Lonchura striata: one gene and its partner. The protein of the gene in region 2 purifies or fractionates together with the protein of the main gene of each other region. This does not show direct contact. Links are inferred from orthologs where the notes say so. Each region holds a gene or a part of one and is shown on either strand. Other genes may lie near its edges. The genes, in order: FGFR2 and RPS6KA3.

The links.
Region 1: the proteins of RPS6KA3 (region 2) and FGFR2 purify together in Homo sapiens (affinity purification with mass spectrometry; 3 studies listed by BioGRID and IntAct, counting the BioPlex papers as one, with this or other methods). This does not show direct contact. The link is inferred for Lonchura striata from reciprocal best matches to the Homo sapiens genes RPS6KA3 and FGFR2.

What each region holds. Positions count from the first base shown.
Region 1 is NC_134609.1:28,083,645-28,095,793, reverse strand, and holds the start of FGFR2 (fibroblast growth factor receptor 2), read left to right. Parts: upstream 1-5,991; 5' UTR 5,992-6,082; intron 6,083-10,213; 5' UTR 10,214-10,292; coding exon 10,293-10,467; intron 10,468-12,149. UniProt on the Homo sapiens protein: Tyrosine-protein kinase that acts as a cell-surface receptor for fibroblast growth factors and plays an essential role in the regulation of cell proliferation, differentiation, migration and apoptosis, and in the regulation of embryonic development.
Region 2 is NC_134604.1:102,352,274-102,364,511, reverse strand, and holds the start of RPS6KA3 (ribosomal protein S6 kinase alpha-3), read left to right. Parts: upstream 1-7,018; 5' UTR 7,019-7,162; coding exon 7,163-7,234; intron 7,235-12,238. UniProt on the Homo sapiens protein: Serine/threonine-protein kinase that acts downstream of ERK (MAPK1/ERK2 and MAPK3/ERK1) signaling and mediates mitogenic and stress-induced activation of the transcription factors CREB1, ETV1/ER81 and NR4A1/NUR77, regulates translation through RPS6 and EIF4B phosphorylation, and mediates cellular proliferation, survival, and differentiation by modulating mTOR signaling and repressing pro-apoptotic function of BAD and DAPK1.

The DNA of each region.
Region 1 (12,149 bases), on a different chromosome or scaffold from region 2:
TTGCCTTTGGACTTTATCTGCCTGACCATCACCTTTCCATGCCATTTTTGGGGACTGCAGCTTGTGAACGTGGTTGCAGAGTTAACAAATGAGGGCTGTTAAACCTCGATGCATCTCTGTTTATGGAGACTTTCTTGGGCAGATCACTGGCTGCTCCCCAAGGCAACCCAGTGAAATTGTGGGTACCACAATCCCCTGGCAAAGTGGAGGAGGCCACCTTCCAGTGGGCACTGGAGCTGATAAAAGGCATGGCTTACACTGAGAGGAAGAAGAAAATTCCTGTGAAAACTACGGTAGGAGATAGGAAAGGAAATTATGTGCAAAGGATGGGGAGAGGAGAAAGAATATTGACTGCCTGGAGAATGCTGACTTGAAAGATGTTTGAGGGTTAAGAAGAATGAGGCAGGGAAATAGTTGTAGGCATTTCATGCTTTATTACCCAAGGTGGGAAGTAGAAGAATTTTTTTTATTTTATATTTTTAACTACAGAGTGACTGTGCCTGCTTGTGTCTGCACCTGGCCTGTGGGAGAGAGAACTGGAAGTGCAGAGCTTGGCACTGCAGCAGAGGATTTGGGAAGCAGGAGGGATCTGTTGGGATTTGGTGCTGTGGGACAGCTGGGTCACAGAAAGAGCAGAGTGCCCACACTGTGGGTTCCTTCCTTCCAGTTTCCTGCTCCTTGCAGGATTCAGACTGTAACACGAGCCCTGGTGCAAAGCTGACTTCACACCTCCTGCTCTGTGCCTGGAAGCTGGAGCACCTCTGCTGAGCCCTGCGGTGTCAGCAGGGAGGAACCTGATCTGATGGAGCCCTGCAGGGAAGCTGCCACAACCACCAGTGAGGCACAGGGCTCCTCTAAAACAAACCAGTGGGTATTGATCAGCTGGAAACAGAAACGAGAAGTGCTTGGGCCAGCAAGTAAAATATACCCCAGTTCTGTAACAGAAGGAGAAATTTTCTTTGCAGCCTTTGTCTCCTCGTTTTTACAAGTCTGGCTCTGTCAGAAGTTTATTCACAGGGTTTCTCTGCATTCTGCTTTAAAGGAGATCACTGCTAAAAGATCTTCTGCCATGGATGCTGCTTTCCACTCTTTTAGAAATGATACTGTTCCCCGAGAGCCAGGGGTGCTTTACCAGGACAGTGTGTGACAAATCCTTTATGAGGGAATACATAATAAATGGAGGATTTTCTTTTATTTTGATTATTTAGTATTCAATATTTGCATTATGGAAGTGCCTGGAGGTTCCAGCTGAGATCACTGCCCTATTGTTCTAAGCCATGCATAAAAACATGGTCAGAGATGAGGAGCTTAACATCTAAATAGATGAACTGGATAAAGGGTGGGAGACAGGAAGCATCTATTATTCTCATTTCATAGCTGGAGAGCTTGGACACAGACAAATTAAGTGCTTTTCCCAGGAAAGCCAATGGAGAAGGGCAGAAATCATGGATTGTCCAGGATGCCACTGTAATACCCTGCTCAAAACACTCCATATTTCCTGCTTAAATATATCTTGCGACACTGTAATGAAAACAACAAATATTTGTTTGGAATATTTTCCTTAAGACACACAAAATGAGAGGTGCAGCAGAAAGGTTACATGGCTACAAGGCATAACAATCCAAGGGGAGTGTTGATACTCAAATGCCATTACAAGACACTGACACAGCAACAGTCAAAGTAAGATTTTTTTTTTTTCCTCAACTGCTTAGCCTTACTGCCTGGAGAAGTATTTCCTAGAATATTCAGCCGTTCATAATGCAGAGGAAGATCAAATATTGATGGACAAAAGCAATTAATTTGCCCCCTTCTCTAGCTTAACCAAAATGACGTTTCCATGTTTGATAAACACCCAGTAAAACTATCCTTTGATGGGCCAGGAGCAGCAGCTTCCCCTTCCCGTACAAATTTTCCTGCAAAAGAACTTAGTAGCCCATCTGCTTCACACTTTCATGGATAATTATTGGATCTATTTGTATTAAAATAATTAATTGTTATCTCAGTTTCTCAATTTAGCAGCCTCTTGAAGTAGTATCTGGTGAGAATTATTGATGGAAGCCTCTCTTTTAGTAGTAGCTTTTGTTTTAAAACAGGGTTGTTTTTGTATGAAATAACTTTTCCCTAAGACACTGAAAAATCTATAGAGCAACTTTGCCTGTCTTTGAAAAAAAAAAATCAGAAGTGGGGTCCTATTATTTGCTCTTGGGTACCCTAAAAAGGAGTTTGAAGCTGCCTGGAAAGAAAACCATAAACATTTTGGAAACCAGGTAAATATTTTAGCTGCCAAAGTTTGAGTTTAGACACTTAGCTTTGGAAGAACTTCAAAGAAAAGAAAAATCTTAGACAAGCATTTAATCATATCCAGCATGAGCAGGAGAAATTTTTGGATGGGACAGTTGGAATAACAGGGAAGAATTGTTGATTCCCATTGTCTTTCATGGAGAAAACCCTCGGTGATGTGTGTGGTTGAATTTGGATTTAGGGAGTTTCTCCCCAAAGACCTCTAAGACTTGAATGTGTGGGCTTTCATTTTCTTTCATTTTTTTCCCTGCTTTAACTCCATGTATTTTATTGCTGTTTCCATCAGCGGCATGTTGGCAGGTCCTGCACCTGGAGAATGGTGCAGTGCTGCAGAACCTCCTTCCCCGGGGTACCCATGGCCTCCCCTGCCATCTGCCAGGAGCTGGGGCTGCTTCCTCGCTGGAATTCCACGGAGGAGCCGCTTCCCGCGGAGCTCTGCCTGCCCTGATATCTCCAGCACTTAAAAGAAATGTCAGAGAGTCTGCGGGGATTAGAAGAACTGAGAGAGCTCTGTGCTGTGCTTTTTTCCGAGGTGACTTTTCCCGCATTTCTCGGAGGCGCTGCCTGCCCGTCTCACCCCATCTCCCCGCAGACACGAGCTGCTTGCCACCTGCTGAACCTTCTGCCTTCATCCCTTCCAGCTGGGCTTCTATGGATGAGCTGGTCCAGCCCAGGAGCAGCCTGAAGTCGGGCACATCTTTACCCCCCCAGGTAAAAGGGATGTTGGGAGGGAATGAATCCATTCCCTAACTTTTTGCCTTCATCCCTTCCAGCTGGGATGAAGGGATGAGCTGGTCCAGCCCAGGAGCTGCCTGAAGTCGGGCACATCTTTACCCCACCAGGTAAAAGGGATGTTGGGAGGGAATTAATCTATCTCCTCAGTTTCTGCCTTCATCCCTTCCAGCTGGGATGAAGGGATGAGCTGGGCTCTGCTGGGTCCAACCCAGGAGCTGCCTGAAGTCGGGCACATCTTTACCCCGCCAGGTAAAAGAGATGTTGGGAAGGATTGAATCCATCTCATCACCCAGCTGTGCCCTCGCTGCAGCTGGAGCAGGGCTGGGACCCTGCTCCTGTTGAACATTAACTCTATCCCTGCCTGCGTGCAGAGGGAGGACTGGAGCTGGGCTGACAGCAGCGACAAAGAGCTGGCAGGGCTGAAAGATTCAATTTAACTTTCTTTCTCCTCCCCCGCTTCCATATGCGAGGGCACACAGCGCTGTTCCTGCTTTTGAAACTTGCGGGGCAAAGGAGCATTGGTGTCCTCATTTTCCTTCCTCCCTATTGATGTATCATTGCCAGGATGAAAAAGGACGTCTCAAGAGCTTTTGAAAAAATGGGTGACTACTCAAGACATTTTATAAAGGAGGAAGAATGGGAGAGAAAATAGGACTCGGTAGGGGGTAGAAGGAGCCTGAATGTGTGCCTTGTCTGTCTATTCTTTAGCTTGAAACCTGGAGCTGTTGTTCCTATTTCAGTTCAAACTGTCACCTTTAGTTCATGATGGCTTTACTGCCCTTGCTCCTGAACCTCAACAGATTGGGGCTTATTTACCTATTCACACTCTGCTGTGGAACCTCATTAATAGGCTTATTAGCCACACCATTCACGTGCAGGAGGGCTCACAGAAAGGATCCCAGCCACTTTGAGAGGAGGAGGAAAAAACTGTAAAGAGATTATGCTCTCATTCAGCAGCCTAACTGCTATGAAAGGCTCCCTGGGCCCACTGAGATCTCTTGAAGCCTAAATATGATGACAGAATTGATCCCCCCCCCCCCACCCCTTTAATTCCAAACATGCTTCTGCTTTTCTCAGATTGAGGAGCTGGGCTGTTGTGGGCCACTTTAGGAGAATGTGGCTCATTTAAGAGAAAAGGCTGCTATTGATAGACTGCTATCTTTTCATCCTCCAAAAGAATAAATTCTGACAAGTGCTTCCAGACCTTGGAAATAGGTGTTCTGACTTGTCATTTTTAGTGGAATGCTTCCTTTTCTTTCAGAGTATGCAAAGATATCGATGAATGGGGAAAGGTATTGCAGCTTCCTGTGCCGGACAATAATTTATGTGAGAATGTGTTAACAATGTTTTCAATGGGCGATGGACATGCCCGGTGCTGGGAAAATTGGATCTTGACTGTGACATCTCAGCTTCTCAATTAGTAACATTCAGATGTCTGTTGCTTTAGGAACAACAAAAAAACCCCGCAAAAACAAAAAACGAAACCTGTGTTTCCAATCAATTACAAATTTGTCTGCCCTCCCTCATAAAGGCTGCAGTAGTGGTGGGAAAATACGTGCTGGGAGGTAAGTACAGAAAACTTGAAGTTTTTGGTGTCTAGGTGTGTGGAAATAGTCTTACACTACGATGCGTGGCCTCAGTCCTTGAAAATCCCCTTGATCAATACTTCACACAACATATAAAATGTACAGTAGAGCTTAAATAAAGTAACATTAAATTGATCAACACTGATTAAATTTGAGGCAACCACCACTTATTGATTTTGTTGTCAAGCTGATTCTACACAAGCAAGCATTACAGACTCCATATTCAAAACCTTTGAATGGTTGATGGTATCTAAAGCAAATGTTTTATTAAGCAAGGATCAGGCTAAGCTATATTGAATTCTGAATACCAATATTATGCAGTTTTAAATCCGTGTGGCCAAACAAATGATGTTTGCATAACTTTTCGACAACTTTTCCCATTTGGGCACCACACGGGTATTAAAAGTGCACTGTCAGACCAACTCACGGGGCAGCTGGAATCAAGCTTTGGATGAGAGGCTCCTGAGGGTAATTTTTGGAGCGGGTGTTATCCAGCTACCCTCTCTGGATGGGACTGGCCGCTGGCCAGCCGTGGCTTCTGAGCCAGAAACACTGCAGGAGAGGTTTCGGGGACAACTGCCGAGCTGGTACCATTTCAGCGTGAGGATGCAGACGCTGCCCAGCGCCGGGGTGGCGGTGCCGCAGCCCAGGCTCACCCGCTGCGGCGGCGCTTTCCGCGCACCTCTCCCTCTCCCTCTCCTTTCCAGCCCGCTGGAAAAACTTTCAGCGGAGCAGCCGGCCGGGAGCAGCGCGGGTTCCTGCCCTCGTCCCCGCGGCCGCCCCGGGATGCGCTGCCCCGCTGCCCCGGGCGGGCAGGGCCGGAGCGCGGCTCCCCGCTCCCCTCCTGCCCCGCGCCGCTGCTGCCGCGGGGGCACCCGCGACCCCCGGGCGGGGTGGGGGCTCCCGGCTCCGCACCTCCGAGGGCTCGGCGGCGATTGGCAGAGCCCGGCAGCGCCGTCCAGGAAACGGCTCGGGTTGCAGCGGGGGGAGTGACCGGGGGAGGAGGAAGGAGCCGGAGGAGTGCGCCGAGAGGGGGGGAGAAGGGGGCAGAGAAAACCCACCTCCCACCCGAGGGGGCTGTCGGCGTGACAAAGCTGCGGCGGCTCGGGGCGGGCGGCTGGATGGAGCGGAGCGGGACCCGCGGCGCGCTGCTCGGCGATGCCCGCGCGGGGGAGGAGGCAGCTGGCGCCGGGCACGGCGGGCTCGCCCCTGTGAGGCGGTAGCCGCCGCGGCCGAGCCAGGGCACGGCACGGGACGGGGCGCCGGGCCGGCTCCTGCCTCGCCTCGCCGCCCTCCTGCCTGCCCCGGGCGCGTCCCGCGGGGGATGCGCGGCGCTGCGCCGCTGCGGGCTCGCCAGCCGCGGCCGCCCGCGCCGTGACCGCGGCCGCAGCCGCGGGAGTTCCGCCCCGTCCCGGGAGCCGCCGCTCCGCAGCGGAGCCCGCCCGGCGCTCTCGCCGCAGGTAAAGGCAGCGGGCGGGCCGGGGAAGGGCGGCCCGGGGCAGGGCTGGGGGTCCCGCCGCGCTCCCGGCTCCGGGCGGGGCTCGGGGGTCCCCCGGTGCGGGGCTGGGGGTGCCCGGGCCGGGATGCGCCGGTGCGGGGCTCCCTTTGCTCCGCGGTGGAGCTGCGGGTCGCGTTGCGGTCGCTCGGTCGCCGCTGCGGTGCGGGGGGAAGCCCGAGCAGCAGCGCTGTTCCCCTGCCGTTCCCGCATCCCCGTGGGTGTCTTCGGGGATGGTTCCAGCGGTGACAGCAGCACGGGCGGAGGAAGGGAGGCTCGCCCCGGAGGAGCAGCCCCGCCTCGGTAGCGGCCGCGGGTCGGAGCCCGGTCCTGCCCCGCCGTGCTGCGGGAGCGGGGCTGCGGGGCACAACCGCCCCGTCTGGGACAAGGGGGGAGAGAAATCGTCAATGAAATATATATTTAAATGCAAAACGGCCCCTTCAAACTGGGACCCATTATGCGTTTGGTGTGAAACGCTATCAACATTTAAAACTTTATTGTCTCCTTTGTACCAAATCCCTGTAAATCTTCCACTAGCCTTTTCTCATTTTCATCTGAAAAGCCTGTTTGGGCTGAATAGACAGCAATCAGCAGCCTCTGGACTTCTCCCGCTCTCTGGAATGTCAATTAAAATGCAGATTTTTCTTCCCCCCCCCCTCCCCGATCTCTTGGTGGCAAAAGACTTGAGAAAAACAGGATAGTCCTGGAAAGCAAATGAAAGAAGTTCAAACAATGAAAAAGTACTGAAGCTGCCAGCCGGTTCCCATTAGTCCTTCAGAATTAATGTTTAATAGCTGTGATACTCAGATTTGCTTGGCGATTGAACTCTGCTGAAGAGTCTTGTTAGATATATATGTGTATGTATATTTTTATAGATGGATGTATATTTCTGCATTTTCTGTCCATACACAATTCTTCTGTCAGTGGAATTGTGTATATAAAGCTGTTAGCTTTAAAGCTTCTTCAACCTGGATTTTTTCTGACGAAGCTACTAGGCTTTTAGAGCCCTTGAGGTTTCTTTGTGGAGGGAAGATCCATATTTCACTCAGATTTTGCTATTCCCCGCCTAATTGAGAAAGATGCTGAAAAGTTATACAGTGACCAATGCATTGATTTGGTTAACATACTCTACAAATCGTGCTGTCCCTGGGGAGTGATAAACATCTTATAAACAACAATGCAAGTAGATTAAAAAGAACACTGAGAATTGAATTTAATTAATGTCACTGCTGAACAAGTACTACTTGTTTGTGTGTGCGAGTGTGTTTAAACTGAAGTGCAGCTTGGAGGAATTTGGTTGGGCTCCCAAACCAGTCTGCTTTCCCATGCTTGTCAGTTTGGCAAAGAAAATTTGGGCAGGTATGTGACGAGGTGAAAATTGACTTGATGAGCGAGTGGCAAGGAGAGCCATCAATCATTGGGGGCTGACAACTCCTCCCCAAAGTGTAGGCTGAGAAGAGAGACAGAGTTCCCTTTCAAGGGGAAAAATAAACACTACGTGTGGCTTTCACTGAGTCTGAGACTCCAGGAGGGATTATGGTATTGTAGTCAGGAAGCCAGAATTGTGGAGGCCAAAAAGCATGCTGGGGCTGTGTTCCAAACATTGAGATAGAGGTACATAATTATCCAGCACAGGAGGTCTTTCCAGGGACTCGTCCCCCAGCAACTGTGGCAATTAAACTATGAAAAGAATTTGGTGGTTTCGTTGCATCTTCGCTGGACTCCACTTCTTTTGGGAGAGGGCAATCCTTGAAGCCTGTCTGCTGTCCTGGTGGTAGAGTGGTTTGGCTCCATGGATGGGTGCAGAGCTCTGATTTTTGCATCGTTGCGCCTTCGCAAGGCAGGATTTTGGGTTTGCTGCTGCCCTGTGGATGAAGAATCCCTTCTTTCTGCCGGCAGATGTTGAGGTGCAGGAGGCAACAAAAACCTTCAGGTGAGGAGACGCGTGGCCAAGTAGCTTTGTGCCGCTCTTCAGGATTTAGGGTGAGGATAGGAACCACAAATGTGCTGTCAGTGGTGTTTAGTGTAGTCTGAAAATCTGAAACTGCAGGAATGTCAGTGGAATTAATGCTCTTGGAGTTTGAAATACATGCTGGCGTTCTGGTATGTTTTCTTTCTGCAAAACCGTGATAGGATTTTGCATTTATCAACATAGGCTTTAATCGGAGTTTACAGGATGATTTATGGAAATGAAATCAGCATTACAGCCAGGCTGTTAATGAGGGGTTTCTACCCACTTTACAGCTGGATAAACTGAGCTGCAGGGCTGTGGCTGCCAGACAGCGAGGTGGGCAGTGGACCTGGGTGGTGGCATCCAGGGGGGTTTGCTCCACGCACAGAGTGGTCCCAAAACCAGAGCTCTCTTCAGCTCTACACCTGCTCTCTGCTTATTTAGAGAAGGGCCGGGCAAGCTCTTTGCAAATGTTTGTGCAGTGGTCTGGTGGTGTTTTCGCTGGAAATGTAATGGTAGTTGCTAGCTTGTGGTCTGGGATGCTGGAGCCGGGCTGAAATCTTTACAGGAAGGGACAGGGCTTTGAGGTGATACCAACGGAGTTGGAAAAAGCTTGCCCTGAAGTAGCAGGGATTCATCTTGTATTGTTTTCCTCAAGTGATTTATTTATGTCATCCAAAACCTGTTTCTACTGACTCCAAAAGTTACTGTGTATAGTGCCCAAGATAAAAGATGCCCCAGCAGCATTTGTGAACTTTGTAGCAGCTAGCGCAAGGCTAATAAAAATCAGAATCAACTTTTTAAATGGTTGGCTTTATAAAAGGAGAATCTTTGTCCCTGTTTCAGCATGCTGAGGTACCACACCAAATCTTAATGACAAGAAGTTTGGAGAAGGTTTACATTATCTCCACACTCCCTTACTTCTTCTTTTTTTTATTATTTTTTTTATTTTTTATTTTCAAGTGTTGGGGGCAGGAGGGAAAAAGAGGTTTTGTGGTTTTTTTTCCCCTTCCAGACAAGTGCTCTCCAAATTTCAGTTGAGTTTCATCACATCTAAGATGAATCATTGACCAGATTAGAACAATTGCTGCAGTTACTTGTTTTATCCATTTACTGAGGTTTTACTTTTATTTCTGAAGCGGAAAATCAGGTCTCATTTTCTGCTTGAGCTGTTAAATCACCCTGTGAGGAGGATGCTCTTCTGACCCTCACCTGGCATCTCAGTGTGGAGGCAACAGGGTCCCCTGAAGGGAGTGCCAGTTCCTTTCATGCTACTTCTGTCAGACCGTGGCTGGATTATCACTTAACTTCATCCATTTAAATTTGTTTTATTGTGAATAAGATAGACTCTTTTTTTTTCCCCCACCTCTGAAAAATATATCTCAATAAGCATCACTGAGAGACTGAGCAAAGAAAGTTTTGTGCACAAAAGTTGGCATGTATGGATGGAAAGTGGTGATTGTGAAACAGCACTCTCTACCATATTTTATACAGATTTTAATTACCTGTAATGCAGTGTAGCAAACCAATATCACTGCAAAGACTTGAGCCTTTCACCTGACAAGGACTCAGGGGTTTCCAAAGACCACTAAACTGAGTCAGAAGAAGGTACATCCATGAAATAGTCTTACAGATTTTTCCAAGTCTGAGCAGTATATTTTTTCAACTGTTTTTCTTCTGGAAAATTACTGAATTCCTGCAAATTCGTCTGGCTGCAGAACTGCCTAGGTGAAGGAATGAAAAACAAGGCAAACTTACATAAACCTTCAAACAATAACAAGAATATAATTTGTATAATTGTGGTAATTTTGTAGCATTACAGGTTATATGCCTGCACATGTGTGTGCCTCTCATTTTTTGAAAACCTGTATGTTTTTCTGTCAGTAAAATAGCTCTCAATATGTGCTGAGAAGTGATTTTGTGAAAACAAGGAGGACTTGGTTACGCCTCAGGTGATGATGGAAACTGCTAACAGAAGATGAAAAGTCACTCACTTTTCACATATTCTTGAAGCTGGAAAACTACTTTCCCCATCCTCCTGCTCCCCTCCCTCTCACCTCAGCTCTGTTGGAGGCTTTATGAAGTTTTTGGTTTGTGTTTGGAGATGTTTTTGCTGACAGTGTTCCATCTCTCTCCTCCCCGCAGCAGCCGTCTTTCCAAGGGAGGAGGCATTACCCTGGCCGAAGGCACGGCTTTCTCTCCATGCTTCTCTAGAGGTGTTCAGATGGGATTAAAGTCCACATGGAGATATGGAAATGGACCAGGAATTTACTCTAAAAAGATGGTCAGCTGGGATTCGGGTTGCCTTATCTGCCTGGTGGTGGTCACCATGGCTGGACTTTCCCTGGCTCGACCTTCATTTAATTTAGTTGTTGAAGACACCACGGTGGAACCTGAAGGTAAATCACTCTCGAATACTTAATTCCTTAAAAGAAGCTAATTTTAAATGCTTGGACATGTGAAATAGAAGTCAAGATCTTTCCATGTGCTCTGGTAAATCTAAGGCAAGTAGCAGAGCAGCCCTGGCGAGTTACGGTTTCTGACTTTCCCTGCTCTCGCCTGGGCTGTGTTTGTACAAGCGTGCGTTTGTTTATTCTTGTGCAAGCCAGTGGTGTCAGTGATTTCACTTGGGACTGTCATCACGTTGTATAATCAAAGTGTACAGATGAAAGTTTTCAGGAACGGGTCTTTAAGGAAACCACTCTGTGGCACTTGGGTGTTGCTGTCTCAAGGAACAAAGCGGATGAGTGGCTGCTGCTCTTTGGGATTGTCTTAACCTGAGGAGTCCAGAGAAAAATGAATCTCTGTGGTTTTCATTTGGGAATGTTTAGTTTTGCTGGGCACGCTGCAGAAATGCTATGGCAGCTTTGTTGGTGTTTGTACTCAGGACAAACGTCCCTGTTGCTGTTAATATCCAGGCACAATCGGTGGTGCAGTGCCTGGATCACAAGTTCTGAAGATGTGAATGTTGAGATCTCAATAGAAGGGCTGGAGTTTATTGCTGTGAGAGCAAAGGCCAATCTAGACCTTCACGTTGAAAGAGGTGTTTTGATAAAATCTCCTATTTTGAGCTTGCACGTGTTGGTATGTTCTTCTAGGTTTATCTGCTCCTCAAGCTTTGCAAAGTGGTTTTCTTCTCTGGAGAGCTCAGGAGAGGCTGCTTTTTCATTGTTGTGAGCTGATTGTGTTGAAGAATGATTTTACTGTGTTGTGCTGGATCATTCCTGCTCTCTGAGCATCTGGGGGAGGAAGTGAGGCTTCTTTCATAAGGTTGTATCTGCCTTTTGGAGGAGTGATCACAGTTCTAATAACTCAGCTGTCAAGCTGATCTAATAGTCCACAGAGCATTTCTGACCTGGCAAGCTTGCTGCAGAGAGTTTGGCCTTTACACAATCTACTACTCATGTCCATGGATGCAGCTTCGTTTTTATTTAATAAATATTCATGCAAAACTTATTTGTTTCTATCCACTGCCTCTAAAAATAGACGTCACCAGCTAACGCATTTTTAGAATCCACTCCAAGTACATTTTTATTGATGGCAGGGGATGAACTATTTAGAGGTGATGAGCCCTCTTCCCTAGCAAACATTCCTGAAAAAAATTCTCAAAGAATAGCAATATTGTCATCTGTCAGGCACAGAGATTGTTGATAGCAAAAATGCTTGGGTTTTTTGTTTTTTCTTCTTTTGAAGGTAACCCGAGATTTAAAAAAAAACCAAAACCTCTTGTTGCCACTTACTGTATGATTTGTTAATTGAACATCTGGTGCCTTTTTGGCTTTTCAGGAGAACGACAAAATCATGAATAATTCTGGTTTCAGCCTAGCTTTGTAGTGAGGTCCCCTAGTTTTAGGGTTAAGTCAGAAATAATGTGGTTGAAGATTGGCAAAGTGCTTTATGGGAAGAAGAGTAATATTTTTTGAATGGTGACTGATAATTTTGCAACTTTTCAGGGAAAGAATAGCTTTCATTATTTTGGAAAGCACAGTTTGAGACTATATGTGTCGTACACACTGATATGTAGGGGGTGGAATCTGGGTTTTATCAAAGAGTAAATTGTTAAAAAAGATTTAAAACTTCT
Region 2 (12,238 bases):
AGCAGAGGAGCATTCATTCTGATGAAGCAGGCAAAATAACGTCACTGCTTCCTGAAAATTGTGATTTTTAAAATAGCTTCTTTGAAGTCAGACAAAGTTTCAGTTTGCTCAAAGTGAATCAGTAGAGGAAGAATATAATCCTGACAATTTATTTAATCCCTTCTACTGTCTGTGGTGATGTAATACCAAAAACTCTATTAACTTATATGTCCACTCATGAGCTGAATATTTACTTCTTACTACAAGCATTAAGATAAGCCATTGGAAATTGTATCCAGTTGTAACAGATTTAATGTGAATGGTTGTTTGTTTCATTAATCTTGTATCAAGTGACTTTAAAAAAGAAAATACTAACAGATTTCTACAAATGTTTAGAGCATCTCTCTGGCTTATCACTTTGAACACAACAGCCTTTACAATTTTCTGTGATTCACTAAATATTTACTGAAGTATATATAGATTTAACTGGCTATTCATATCCAAGACACAAGTGCTTCTTATAGTATTTAAAACTGTTCTGCTCTTTCTTTAAAAAGCCATCTTCTATCTCAGCATTCCTTCTCTATTTTATCCTACATCTTACATTACCATCCTTGGCACTTAATGAAGAATGACCAACAAGCCAAAAATCTTCCACAGTCTCCCCTCCTCCAGTTAACTTAACCATCTAGTAATAGATCAAGTTCATACTATTCATTAGCCTAAGCCCAGAACCTTCAACAAGTATCAGACAGCATAGATTTACAGTTTCTGACTCACCTGTCACATATATACCATTTTGCATCTCTAAAGCTCTAAATAAGGAACCACATCTTAACACAGTCTTAAGCTGCTCTGCCTTACAGGATAAATGTTGCTGCCTACTCATCCTGCTATTCCTTTTGGCAAGGTTGGGACTCTGGAACAAGGCCTTGACCATGTCTTTTCTCCATCAAATAGGACAAAGTGGGCCAACACAGCCGGGGCAGATTGAGGTACTTAGGGGTGAACAGGGCTGTTTCATCTAACATATTTCTCTTCATTGCTTCCAGATAATGCTTCCAGAGCCGTCTTCCATCACAGTCATGCTTCCCTTCAGTAAGCGCTGACTTTGGGGGATAGAAACATGCACTCACCGTGGAACTGTGTCATTGCAATATGCTGAAATGATTGCTGGAGATGTAAAGTATCCATATTTAGAGTAGGCACCTTTTCACTAGTAAAATCACTTGTAGGACACAAGGAAGGGTGCCAGTATACTTTGGAGTTTGATAGCTCCCAGCCAATATTGAGGGCTGAAAAAACACTTCAGGGTAAGGCAGTCAACAGTGAAGTTCCTTTTTGATGTATCAAGAGCAGAGATGAGTGTGAATCCATCATTCCACTGAATCACGGAGGGGCCCAGGGCTCATACAGGGAGCTGAGGAAAATATTACCTCTACACAGCATCTTGGACATGATCACAAACCTGGGCCCCCTCTGGCACTGCTTTGTTCTCCACAGGGCAAAAGGCAAGGCACAAAGGTGAGATGCTGATGGAAAAGTGAGTGAACAGTCTTGAGAAAATACATGGATCTTTCAAACCAATAGAGGTAACCAACTCTATTTTTAGGTACACCGACAGCACATATCTTGGAAATATCCCCAGACTACTGGGAATGAGCATCAGGTGTTGTCAGGCAGGATAAAGGACAGCTGTTAGCTCAGTCTGGAAAATCCTGTTCAGTATAATTAAGGGTCAGTAAAGAGAAAGTGAAGCTTTCTAGATTTAAAAGGGATTCTTGGTTAAAAGATGATGGATAATCTATAAAAGGAAGTGAAGAGTAAGATTGTTAGAATAGATTTGGTAACTAGTTTTCAAAGAGACCAAGGCACTATTTAATTGTGAGGGCATAAAATCAGGAAATTTAGGTAGTAAGGTTAAATAGCAAAAAAAGTGAGAAAAAGTAGGCTTTGCTTGTCAGTAGGCTTTGCTTGTCAGTAGGCTCTTTAATTTCATAACAATAATAAAAGGGTCTGTGACCCTTAAATTTCTAGATCTGGGAGGGGGGTAGGGTGCATAAATAGTGATGTGCCCTTCTCTCAACAGTGTGTTTTATAGCAATGATTTGTGAAGCTGATGAGTTTTTTATTGCTATATTGTATAATATAACATCATATTCTATCTCTATCACCACTATTTTTGGTGGGTTTTTTTGGTTTTGTTTTGTTTTGTTTTGTTTGGTTGGTTTGGTTTGGTTTTTGTTGCGTTTTTTGTAAACAGCTATCTTGTGTTGTATTTAATGTAAGAGAACTCTGACCCTTGAACACTGATCTTGTTCATACTCCACCATTTCCTTTTTGTCTCAAAATACCACTATCTGAAATTCTAATCTGATTCTCAATGTTCCACTGCAAAGGGGTGACAACTTGCATTCGGTATTTGACAGCAGGTTTCCATGTAAGATTTCAAAGCTCAGCAAGAGGTTTCTTATACTCTGCAGTGAACAGGATAAATTTTGTCATTCAGATGATAAATCTGAGCTATTCTGTATGTACAGAAACACTAAAATGAGAACATATGTTGGAGACAGGTATGCTGTAATGAGACCATATTTTATTGAATTCCAGATTTCCACTCAGGATATAGAAACCACAGGCACAATTATTTCCTGCTAGCATAGTGACCACAGATAAAACTTGGATAAGTAATTCCATCGAGCATGATGCATTATGCTTTACCCTTTCAGTGCAATTTTATGTAAACTTACTTACATCCAGAAAATCTATAGCTTTAAGCAGTGAGTCAGACATTGTATCTCTAACATATATAGGATTTAGAAGCATTCTTATTGTCATTATCACATCTACTATACTTGCAGGATTAGAACTTCAAAGGAGAGCCTGCCAGAGGAAAATGCAGGAAATGTTTGCATTCCTGTATGATTCCATCATCCAGGGGCCTGTAATGGTGAAAGCCCCCTTCAGCAGATGTTGTTTGAAAGGTCAGGTTAAATCTTAGTACACAAGAGACATTCATTTCAGTTCTTCCCTTCTTAGTTATTGATTATAACTCTGATTTGTACAGCAAATCGCTCTGGTGTCTCTGCTATGACAACTCACACCAGCTGGAAACTTCTTGTAGCACTTTGTCTCTCTTCCCCTGGTCTTTGTCAGCTTTCCAAACATCACTGAAACCATCCTTCCAATATCCCAGTGAGGTTAAGGAGATGTTCTTTCTATCTGCACCTAAAGCACAGAGCAAACAATTCTAACTAGCACTAGGCTTCCTTAGTTTATTTTGGCAGAATGTATTTATGCTTCTTCAAACAAGGCCTCCTCACACTTTTCAAAAGATCATGAAGAAAGACTAAGTCTTCTTAGTTGAATCTCATCAATATGAAGTGACTGACTAAATTACACAATTGTCCTTTGTGTTCTGCTAGGAATTGAATCCAGGTGTCTTGAGAGTAAGAGACTCTCTTTGTCTATCAGCTATACAAATAAATGTTATTGATTATTTTTTTAACTCCTTGGAGGTTTTTTCCCATATAAATTCAGACAGTAGCTTCTGCATATTTTCCTGTGCATTAAATTCAAATTATACACCTCAGTGCCTTGGTCACAATACTTGAAACAGAATTTCACACTTTCACATTGTATTTACTGTTTCATATTCCGTTCAGAAGATACAGCATCATAATTCCCACCTAATGCACTACTAGACCTTCTAGATAAGTGTCAGATTGTGGGGCTTGTTGCCATAGTTTCATTTGGGTTTCTCCCAGGTTTTATGTATATTTTAAAAATGCAAGTTGAAGTTCTCAAATATTATTCTGATCATAATGTTAGCAAACTATTTTTGTTTTACACTTCTAATTTTGGGGGGCATGGCTAAGGTGATTTACTAACTCTGCAATTAATTCTGCACTAATTGCAAAGACTATGTAGGTACTACTTCAAAGCTAAGCAAAGCATTAGATCCAACCAGCCATAAGCAAGATTCCCTAATTTCTGTCACATATATATCAAGAGGCTGCCTGTGGGAAAAGAGTAAGTACTATTAAGCTGATGTCTCCCTTGCATTCGAGTGACATTTTAGTGAGGTTTGTTAGAAAGAAGTGGAAAAAAATGGTGCAGCATGTGAAGCCCATCTAATTCATATGACAAGTTAATGGGATTTTATACAGCACTGTCATTTCAGTGCCATATGCTACCCTTTTCCTAACAAACGTGATCAAATTTTTGGTTGCAATGCATATAAAACATCCATGTGGATGCACCACAATTGCAACCACTTATGCAAAGGTGAAATCAACGCCCACAACCGAGCCTAGTGACAGACAGTTATTAGCAGTGACTGCAGTCAAGCAGAGATAGCTGTGCCTAGAGGGAAAGAGGGTAAAAGGAGAGGTCTGCAGCCACAGGTGAAGGCACTACCTCACTTTGGCCTGAGACAAAAGGAATGAAAAATAGGAGCTGCTGTCTTGAGGTAAAATATCTTCAGCATCTTGCCTCTTTCTGGGAGGATGATCCAACTCCGAGCTTAGCAAGATTTGAAAGTCAGAATCCCCCGCATCTCCCAGAGATTAACTGATATGTCTCCCTGCGGAGACACTTTGCAGATGATTTTCTTGCCCTGAAGTCTGTTCTTGCATAGTAGCTCCTACTAAAATCCTGATGCAGCTTTCTCTTTTATAAAATTTAAATGCGTGGTGCAATAATACTGAAACCCCTGAACAATGAAATGGCATACTTCTACCTACTCTGTACTTCAGTGCCTCAGAAAAGGTCAGATTCCTATTGTTTGCAGCTCTCTTACCTGCTAGTGCAGAAGATCTTTGCCCCTGTTTTATTTTGGATTTGTAAGATGCATACAGGGAAGGACAAAAGAAGATCTATGTAAAAAATTCAGAAATCATAACCAAACTATGATGCCCCTCCCCTTCTAAAAAGAGTTTAAAATTCAAACAATTTAGAATATGTACCCGTGGCAAGAAAGGACTAGAAAACTATGAAAGGAAAAGAGATCATGGAGTTTTTTAGTTAGAGGAAGAAAATCTTTTATAAAGAGGGACTTGTTGGACTATGTGAAATGCAAGCTTAGGTTTGGTGTATTGTTCTTGTGATTGCCACTTTTCAGTTCTCAGGTTCATCTCCCTAATGGAACATCTCAGATGTATGTACCTGACTGTGTAGTTGATGCAGGTACAAATGCATGAGTTTTGATAAAGTCAAGTGAAATATTCCTGTGAGGGAATAGAAACTTTTATTTCCAGAGGGATGTAAGGTAACTTTTTTTTTAACATCATGAATTTTTACATGAACTCAGAGATTATTTTTTAAAGTCCTGATTTGTGTGTCAACCACATAATGTATGACTGCTGTAAAAAAATACTTTTATGCTCAACATTCCAGCAGCCAGTTTGAGACTGAAGTGACCTGCTGCTGCTCAGACTATGAAAAATTATTTCTTGCATTATGCTTAATATCATAATGTTTGCATTGTTCTAAATTTCATATCATTAACCAGCTAGGGTTCTGCAACTTGACCACATTGGAAGGAAGCAGTCTAAATTCCTCTTTCAGCCTTTAATATGGTGGGTTGGTTGGTTGGTAGGGTTTTTTTTGAGGACAACAGGAGGTAAAAAAGGTACAGTAGGGTAAGTTTTGATGCGGGTCAGTTCCCTGGTATAACTCACCACATGACAGCACAAGCAATTGCAACCCTTGAAAGAGAGGTCGATGCAAGGGCCAGACTGACTTGGAGTGAATGAGGGTACATCTGCTCCTCCTGGCTTTAGGTGATCATTCAACTATGACCTTTTACTCCAGATATGGAAGTCTCTGTAGGACCAACTGATTCATTATTAGCAACTGCCTATCCACTCCTTCGTTCCTCTTTGTAGATAGGTATTTACATGAACTGGGATCAAAACTGCTACCAAGCAGAAACAGAACCAGTCTGTGTTCATCACAAGAGTGTGTGCATGCACATACACACTTTTAATTACTAGCACTCTTGCTATTTTTCCCATTCCAAAAAACCTTCCAAGTATTTAAAGAATGTTAACTTTTATAAAGGATGGAACAAATCATGTGACCTATCAAAATCTAGAAATGCTCGGGGCAGTGGGGGCTCTCAAAAACTAAGAGGCCTTCTCAGAGTTCTGGAAAGTTTGGCTTCAACAGCAAGAAGTCTGACACCAGTGCTCACCCACCTTCAGTTGCTGGTCTCACGTTTCAAGGATTCTTCAGCATCAGCCAAGCCATCTAATGTTGCAAAACTTGGGTGTTCTTGACAGCGCTTAGCATTTCAGGAAACCATGTAACACCACATAGGCTGTAGGTCTCAGTTTATATGTTTGTGTACCAGCTAACACCTGAAAATAAAAAGTAAAATAAGGGCCGTTTTCTGAACCTTTGGGGGGTTTTTTTGACAACTTTATCTTCATGTCTCTCGGCTTGAGGGAGTATGACTTTCCCGCTTCGAGGCAACTCCCACAGTCCAACCACTGCTTAAACGGTGTTGCTACAAAAACAAATTCCTACACCTTAATTCCTTTCCCTCTTTGCCTAATGATATTCTGCACAATCCCACGTCTCAGCCGCCTCTCGACTTCTCCCTCCGCGCTTGTCTGTGCGAACAAACTCTCCGTGTCTCCAACTCCCCGCAGCCCGGGGAGGGTAGCAGCCCCGGTTCCCGGAGCCGCGGTTCCCCAGCCCCGGGGGGCGGTAGCAGCCCCGGTTCCCCAGCCCCGGGGGGCGGTAGCAGCCCCGGTTCCCGGAGCCGCGGTTCCCCAGCCCCGGGGGGCGGTAGCAGCCCCGGTTCCCCAGCCCCTCTCCGTGGGGCCGGCCCGCCCCGGCGGTGCCGGCGGCGCTGAGGGCGCAGCCCCTCAGCAGCACCGAACGGCGCCGGCGGGGGCTGCCGGGCGCAGGCGCGGGCGGGCGCGGCCGCCGCCATGTCGTGAGCGGAAGCCGGGCCGGGGGAGGGCGGCAGCGCGGCCCCGCCCGGCAGCGGGGAGGGCGCGGGGGAGGGACGGGCGCACCGCGGCGGCGGCAGCGGGCAGCAGTCGCCGCAGGAGCCGCCGCCGGAGCCAGCCGGGCTGTCCCGCGCCCTCCGCAGCGCTCGCTGCCTGCCTGGCCGCCCCCGCCGGGTAGCGGGAACGCGGAGCGCGGAGGCTGCGGGAGCCGGACGGGAAAGATGCCCCTGGCGCAGTTGGCAGACCCTTGGCAGAAGATGGCTGTGGAGAGCACGGCCGAGAGCAGCACCGAGGTACGGGGTGGGCGGGGGGTGCTGCGGGGAAAGTTGTGAGGAGAGAACGGGACCGGGGCTCCCGGTGCCGCCGTCGCTCAGCGGGTGGGCAGAGTTTTCCCCCGGAGGTTTCGGGGCGGGCAGCGGGCGGGGGCCGGCGGCAGCGGCCCGGCGGGGAACGCGGCGAGCGCCGGCCCCTGCACAGCGCTTCCTCTCCGGGGCACTGACTCACGGCCGGCACCGGCCGGGGCTCCCCGGCCCGCGCCGAGCTCGGGGTGTGTTCCCGGGACCGGGCTGCTCCCGGCGCGCTCCCTCCCCTTCCGCCCCGTTCCCGGGAGGGAGTAACCTGCCTCCGTGGTGGCCGCCGGGTCGGGCGCTTTTGTTCCAGCGCGGTGTCTGGTTACTGTCACGGCGAGTTTCCTTTCCCGGGGCGGCCCTCCGCCGCCGCGGCTCGAGGTGGGCAGGAGGGCCGGGCCCGCCCTCGCCTTGCCCGGTGCCCTCGCCTTGCGGCATCTCCCCGTGTGGGTCCCCGCCCGGTGCCGCTGCCCCCTTATCTCGGCAGGATGGGGTTGGCGGCAGTTTCGCAAGAATTTGGGAAACCGCAGGGACGTGAAGGGTGGTGAAGCATGGGTGAAGCTTTGTGCTCGGCGGCGTTGCCGGGAACAAGCCCGGGGTGCCGCGCACTGTGGGTTTCCCGTTGTGGTAGCGGGGAGTGCGTGTTGTGCCTGTCCTTGTTAGGCAGGACGCGTGTCAGCTTTCCTAGGCTGGAATAATGAGAGCGGCTGGAAATTAGAGTCACTTGACACCGAGGCCATAGAAGCTTTCAGCTATTCTCATATTTTTCCTACTACTGTTGGTTTGGATCTGTGTAAACACTGCACCTACACAGTCTGTTGTGCTTGCTCCATGAGTCCTTAGTAGCCCACAGTGCTTGTGCTACTTTGTGACCAGATTCCATCTGAAAAGAAAAAGCTGCTTTTGACAGTGCAGCTTCGACCTGAATCGGCTCCAGCTGATACGCAGCCAGGCTGCTTCAAGTGATGCTGATGTGGAACGGTGTGGACCCAGGCCAGCTCACAACAATTATTCGCAAGGTTAGGACTCTCTCCTTAGTGAGATGAGCATAGAGGGACCGATGCAGAGTTTCTGCAGTATCAGGATTTGTCCTTTTCATCTTTGTCTTCTCATTCTTCTGCTGAAAGTCACTGTATCTCAGGGAGTCAGAAGAACCTACAGGCACATATAATTTTTTAACTCTTGACAGGTAGTTACTTTTTAAATTTGTGCTAGTTATTTACTGACTTCTGGAGTAGTGATCTTAGATGATTTTAAATTGGGAGTAACTACAATAGTGTGATGCTTGGGGGTGGGGCAGAAGGTGGTAAGGGAAAACACTTAGGTTAATCATTTAGAGAAAAGAACTGTTGCTTTAGTCTTTGCTCACTGCATGCAGTCTAACTTCAATAATAGTATATATGCTAGATATGTAGAAAAATAGATTATGTTATTTGCAATGTGTGTACATTCATGATTATACTTCACTTGTTTTAACATATTTCAGACATGATTTGTTTTTAAATTGATGTCATAAACTTTTTGGAACAAGTGTATTTTATCACTTCCTTAAAAATAATTAAACTCATATATTGACATGAGTCTACAGTAGCTTATCACCAAAAAATGTCTAGGACCAATAATAAAACATGAAACAACATGAAGTGACAGGTTTGTACTCCAAGGCCTAGCCTAGAATAAACAGTTCTTGAAGGGACCAGGCTGCACCTGCAAAAGCTTCTCGGATGACACTCAAAAGGAAAAAGTTACTTAGAAACATTGCTTACATTAAATGACTATTTAAGAAAATATATTTTAGTAAAAATAGGTAAGTTTAAATCAAATATGTCAACAAGTGACCTAAATACATAACTTGGATTTTTGATTTGCATGAGTTGTGTTTATCTGTAGCATAGCAATATCCTAATTACAGACCCTATTCTGCAAGAGTATCCTTGGGCAAAAATGTTCTTACATTTGCCTGAAACTCATTGTGATTTCAGTCATAGTTTGATACTAATAATATCTTTAGCTGTAACTCTGAGTAAAGCATTTCTGCTAACCTCTCAGATTTGCTGACACAGTTCTTGTAATGCTGTATTATCAGCATATGGAATTACAAATTTTTGAGTTTTTTCCTTGTCTTAACGACTTATGGAATTTTTAATTGACTTGATTTTTCATTTGTTTTCCAGCGCAGTCCTGTAGTTACAGTGGTACTGCCAAGGAGGTGATGTTCTGTGATGGGTGTGCAAATTTAGGAGGACTAGAATACTTTTAAATAGCTTTAGTTTGGAAGTGTACTTAACCACAAACAGCTGCTGTAACTTAGGTGTGCAGAACAGTAGAATATAATCTTTCTTTTTTAAAAAATCAGACAATTGTTTTTTAGATAAAATGTGGCTTTATGATTTTTAAAAATCATTTTCAGGACTTCTCTTTCTACAGGTGCAAATAGGTCAGTGATCCACATTGTCTCTGACAGCTTTTTTAATGTGTAAAGTTGTTAAAATATTTTTTAAATAGTGTGTCTGTATGTGTAGTTTCAGTTTCATATTGTAAATCAGAGCACCTTTAAAGCTTGTGGAATGATGCTGTTTCTTACTGACTCAGAGTCTACTCAGGATTCATAACAAGCATAGGTTCGTTTTTCATGGTGAGAATATGCCTGTTATTGCAAGTCATCTGCTTTCGAGCAAATTAAGTATTGATGACTTGAGTTTGCATTTGAATGCCTGAATAATTAGCCTGATCCTTTGATCTGTACTCTCAGTTATGCATATTAATGTCAACTGGAGGAGAATGAATACAGTTATGGCAGCCAAATTTTGGACACCAGTATGTTGAAAGAGCTGGCCATCATAAGGAGATGCCATTTGCTAGACTTTCTGGGAAGCATTTGTGACAGCTGTCATTAGGAGTTTTAATTTAGATGCTCAGAACTGGCTGTGGAGAAATTCTTTTCCCATTGCTCTTGACAGGGTTTATGGTCATTTGTTCAGGTGTTTAAATAGGTGCTATGAATCTTCCTTCGCAAATTTCTGTTTTATAGTGTGTATTATTTGAACTTTGCATGAGACAAGGTATGCTAGCATTTAACAGTCATGCTGCTACTTTAAAGAAACTGGTATAATGCAAATTTTGCTTTGTAATTTTATTTTGATTGTCAGTGTGGCATTCTCTATGTCAATATATATTTCTGGCCTGGAAGCTGAAGTTTGTCAGATGTCTTGCCACCTTTAGCCTTGAGCCTGTGGTTGTGATTGTCTCTTCACATTCTGTACTGTGAATCAGTGTTGTCCTTGTCTTCCACAGGAACTAAGGCAATATTTACAGTCATTTCTGGTATAGCCAACACAGGTAAATACTTAAAGCCAAAGTGGAATCACCTAAATGGACCAATCTGTGAGGATTTTGAGAACTATCCATTTTCTCTCCATTGTAGAAAAAATTATGTGCAGCACTTGGCTGTTGCTTCTCACGTAGAACTGCTGTCAGCATGGTACATTCTGAAGTCTGAATTTTTCACTGATTTATGGGATGATGCTTTCTTGTACTGAGTTAAAAGTGGGAATTGGAAATTTAATTCTGATTTAAATAAGTAGCATAAACTATATTCCACAAACTGCTGTGATAGATAACAGATCTTTTATGTATGTAAACACAGCCTTGAGAAACACATAGTCTGCATGAAAAGTGTTACAGGGGGTGGTCAGATTTTTCATAACCTTATTGGCACCATTTTAGCCGATTTGTTTTTCAGTTAACACAGTCATAGTCCGTGACATAGTAAGGATGTCCTGTGGTCAGCTGAGTGGGGCAGGAAAAGGCAGGAGTTTTACTTTGTTGACTTCAGTACCTTCTTGCACTGCTGTGTACTCCCTGCAGTTCTTGATTTTTTTTGTAAAGGTGTTGAGTTTAACTTCTTTTAATGGTTATGTTGCTTTTCTTATGACATTGGCAGTTTTCTTGTAATTGTTTTGTTCGTTTTAGTGTAGGCAATATTTCTTGCCCCAGCTGGGATGTGTAACATAAAGTAGATGTAAGAAGATTGACACATGTAAAGGCGTGTCTGTTATCTTTGAACTGGTTGTGGTCTGTCACACTGACTGTAGATGTTTGTAATTTGAAATGCTAGACTTAAAGTCATATTGATATATAGACTGAGGTGGGCGTTTAATTATTTCTGCACATCAAAAGTATTAGCTTTGTGTGTTGACTGATCTTGGCAGTTGCCAGATCTACCAGCTTTAAGAACTCAAGATACTCATTTGGAATTGTCATTTTTCTGTGGCACTTGGTTGGGGGAGGTGTTTTGTTTTGGATTTGAGGCGCTTTTTTTTTTGTTGTTTGGGTTCTTTTTTCCACCAGATATAATTCATAGCCATATTCCAATAGTGAAACTTTTAACCTGTTTTTCAGGCTAGAGTAGATTCATATAATTGGGTTTTTTAAATCTTGATAACTTTCAAGAGAACAGTTTAATCAGTAAAATTTGAAAAAGTTAGAATCCCTTCAAAGAACTTTTAAGTTTGGGCAAAGTGGTTGAGTACCAACAGTTGCTGTGCTATATGCTTGCATATGTGATACTGTGCTTCTTATTCTCTCCTTATTCCCTGAAATAAGATTAAATGCCTCACCCACTGGAAGTAGAGGGGAGAAAAAATCCTGTGTAACAGATGGGAAAATGAGGCTCAACAGCTTAGTGACCCCATCTAGCATTATTCATTGAGACTGTTCTAGAACTACATGAACTCTGATTTTTTAGGACCTACCCAAAAAGTGGGCCTTGACCACAAAGTTACTGCTAGTTCGTTCCTATCAGTAAGAGTTACTGTATGCTTAATGCTCCACTTAGCTATTTTTGGAGGAAATGTCCTGCCATTTCTTTTTATTAATTTATTTGTTCTATGAAGCCATTCAATTTTGTATAAGTGAGTATCTTAAAAATACTTTATTATGGTCTATGTC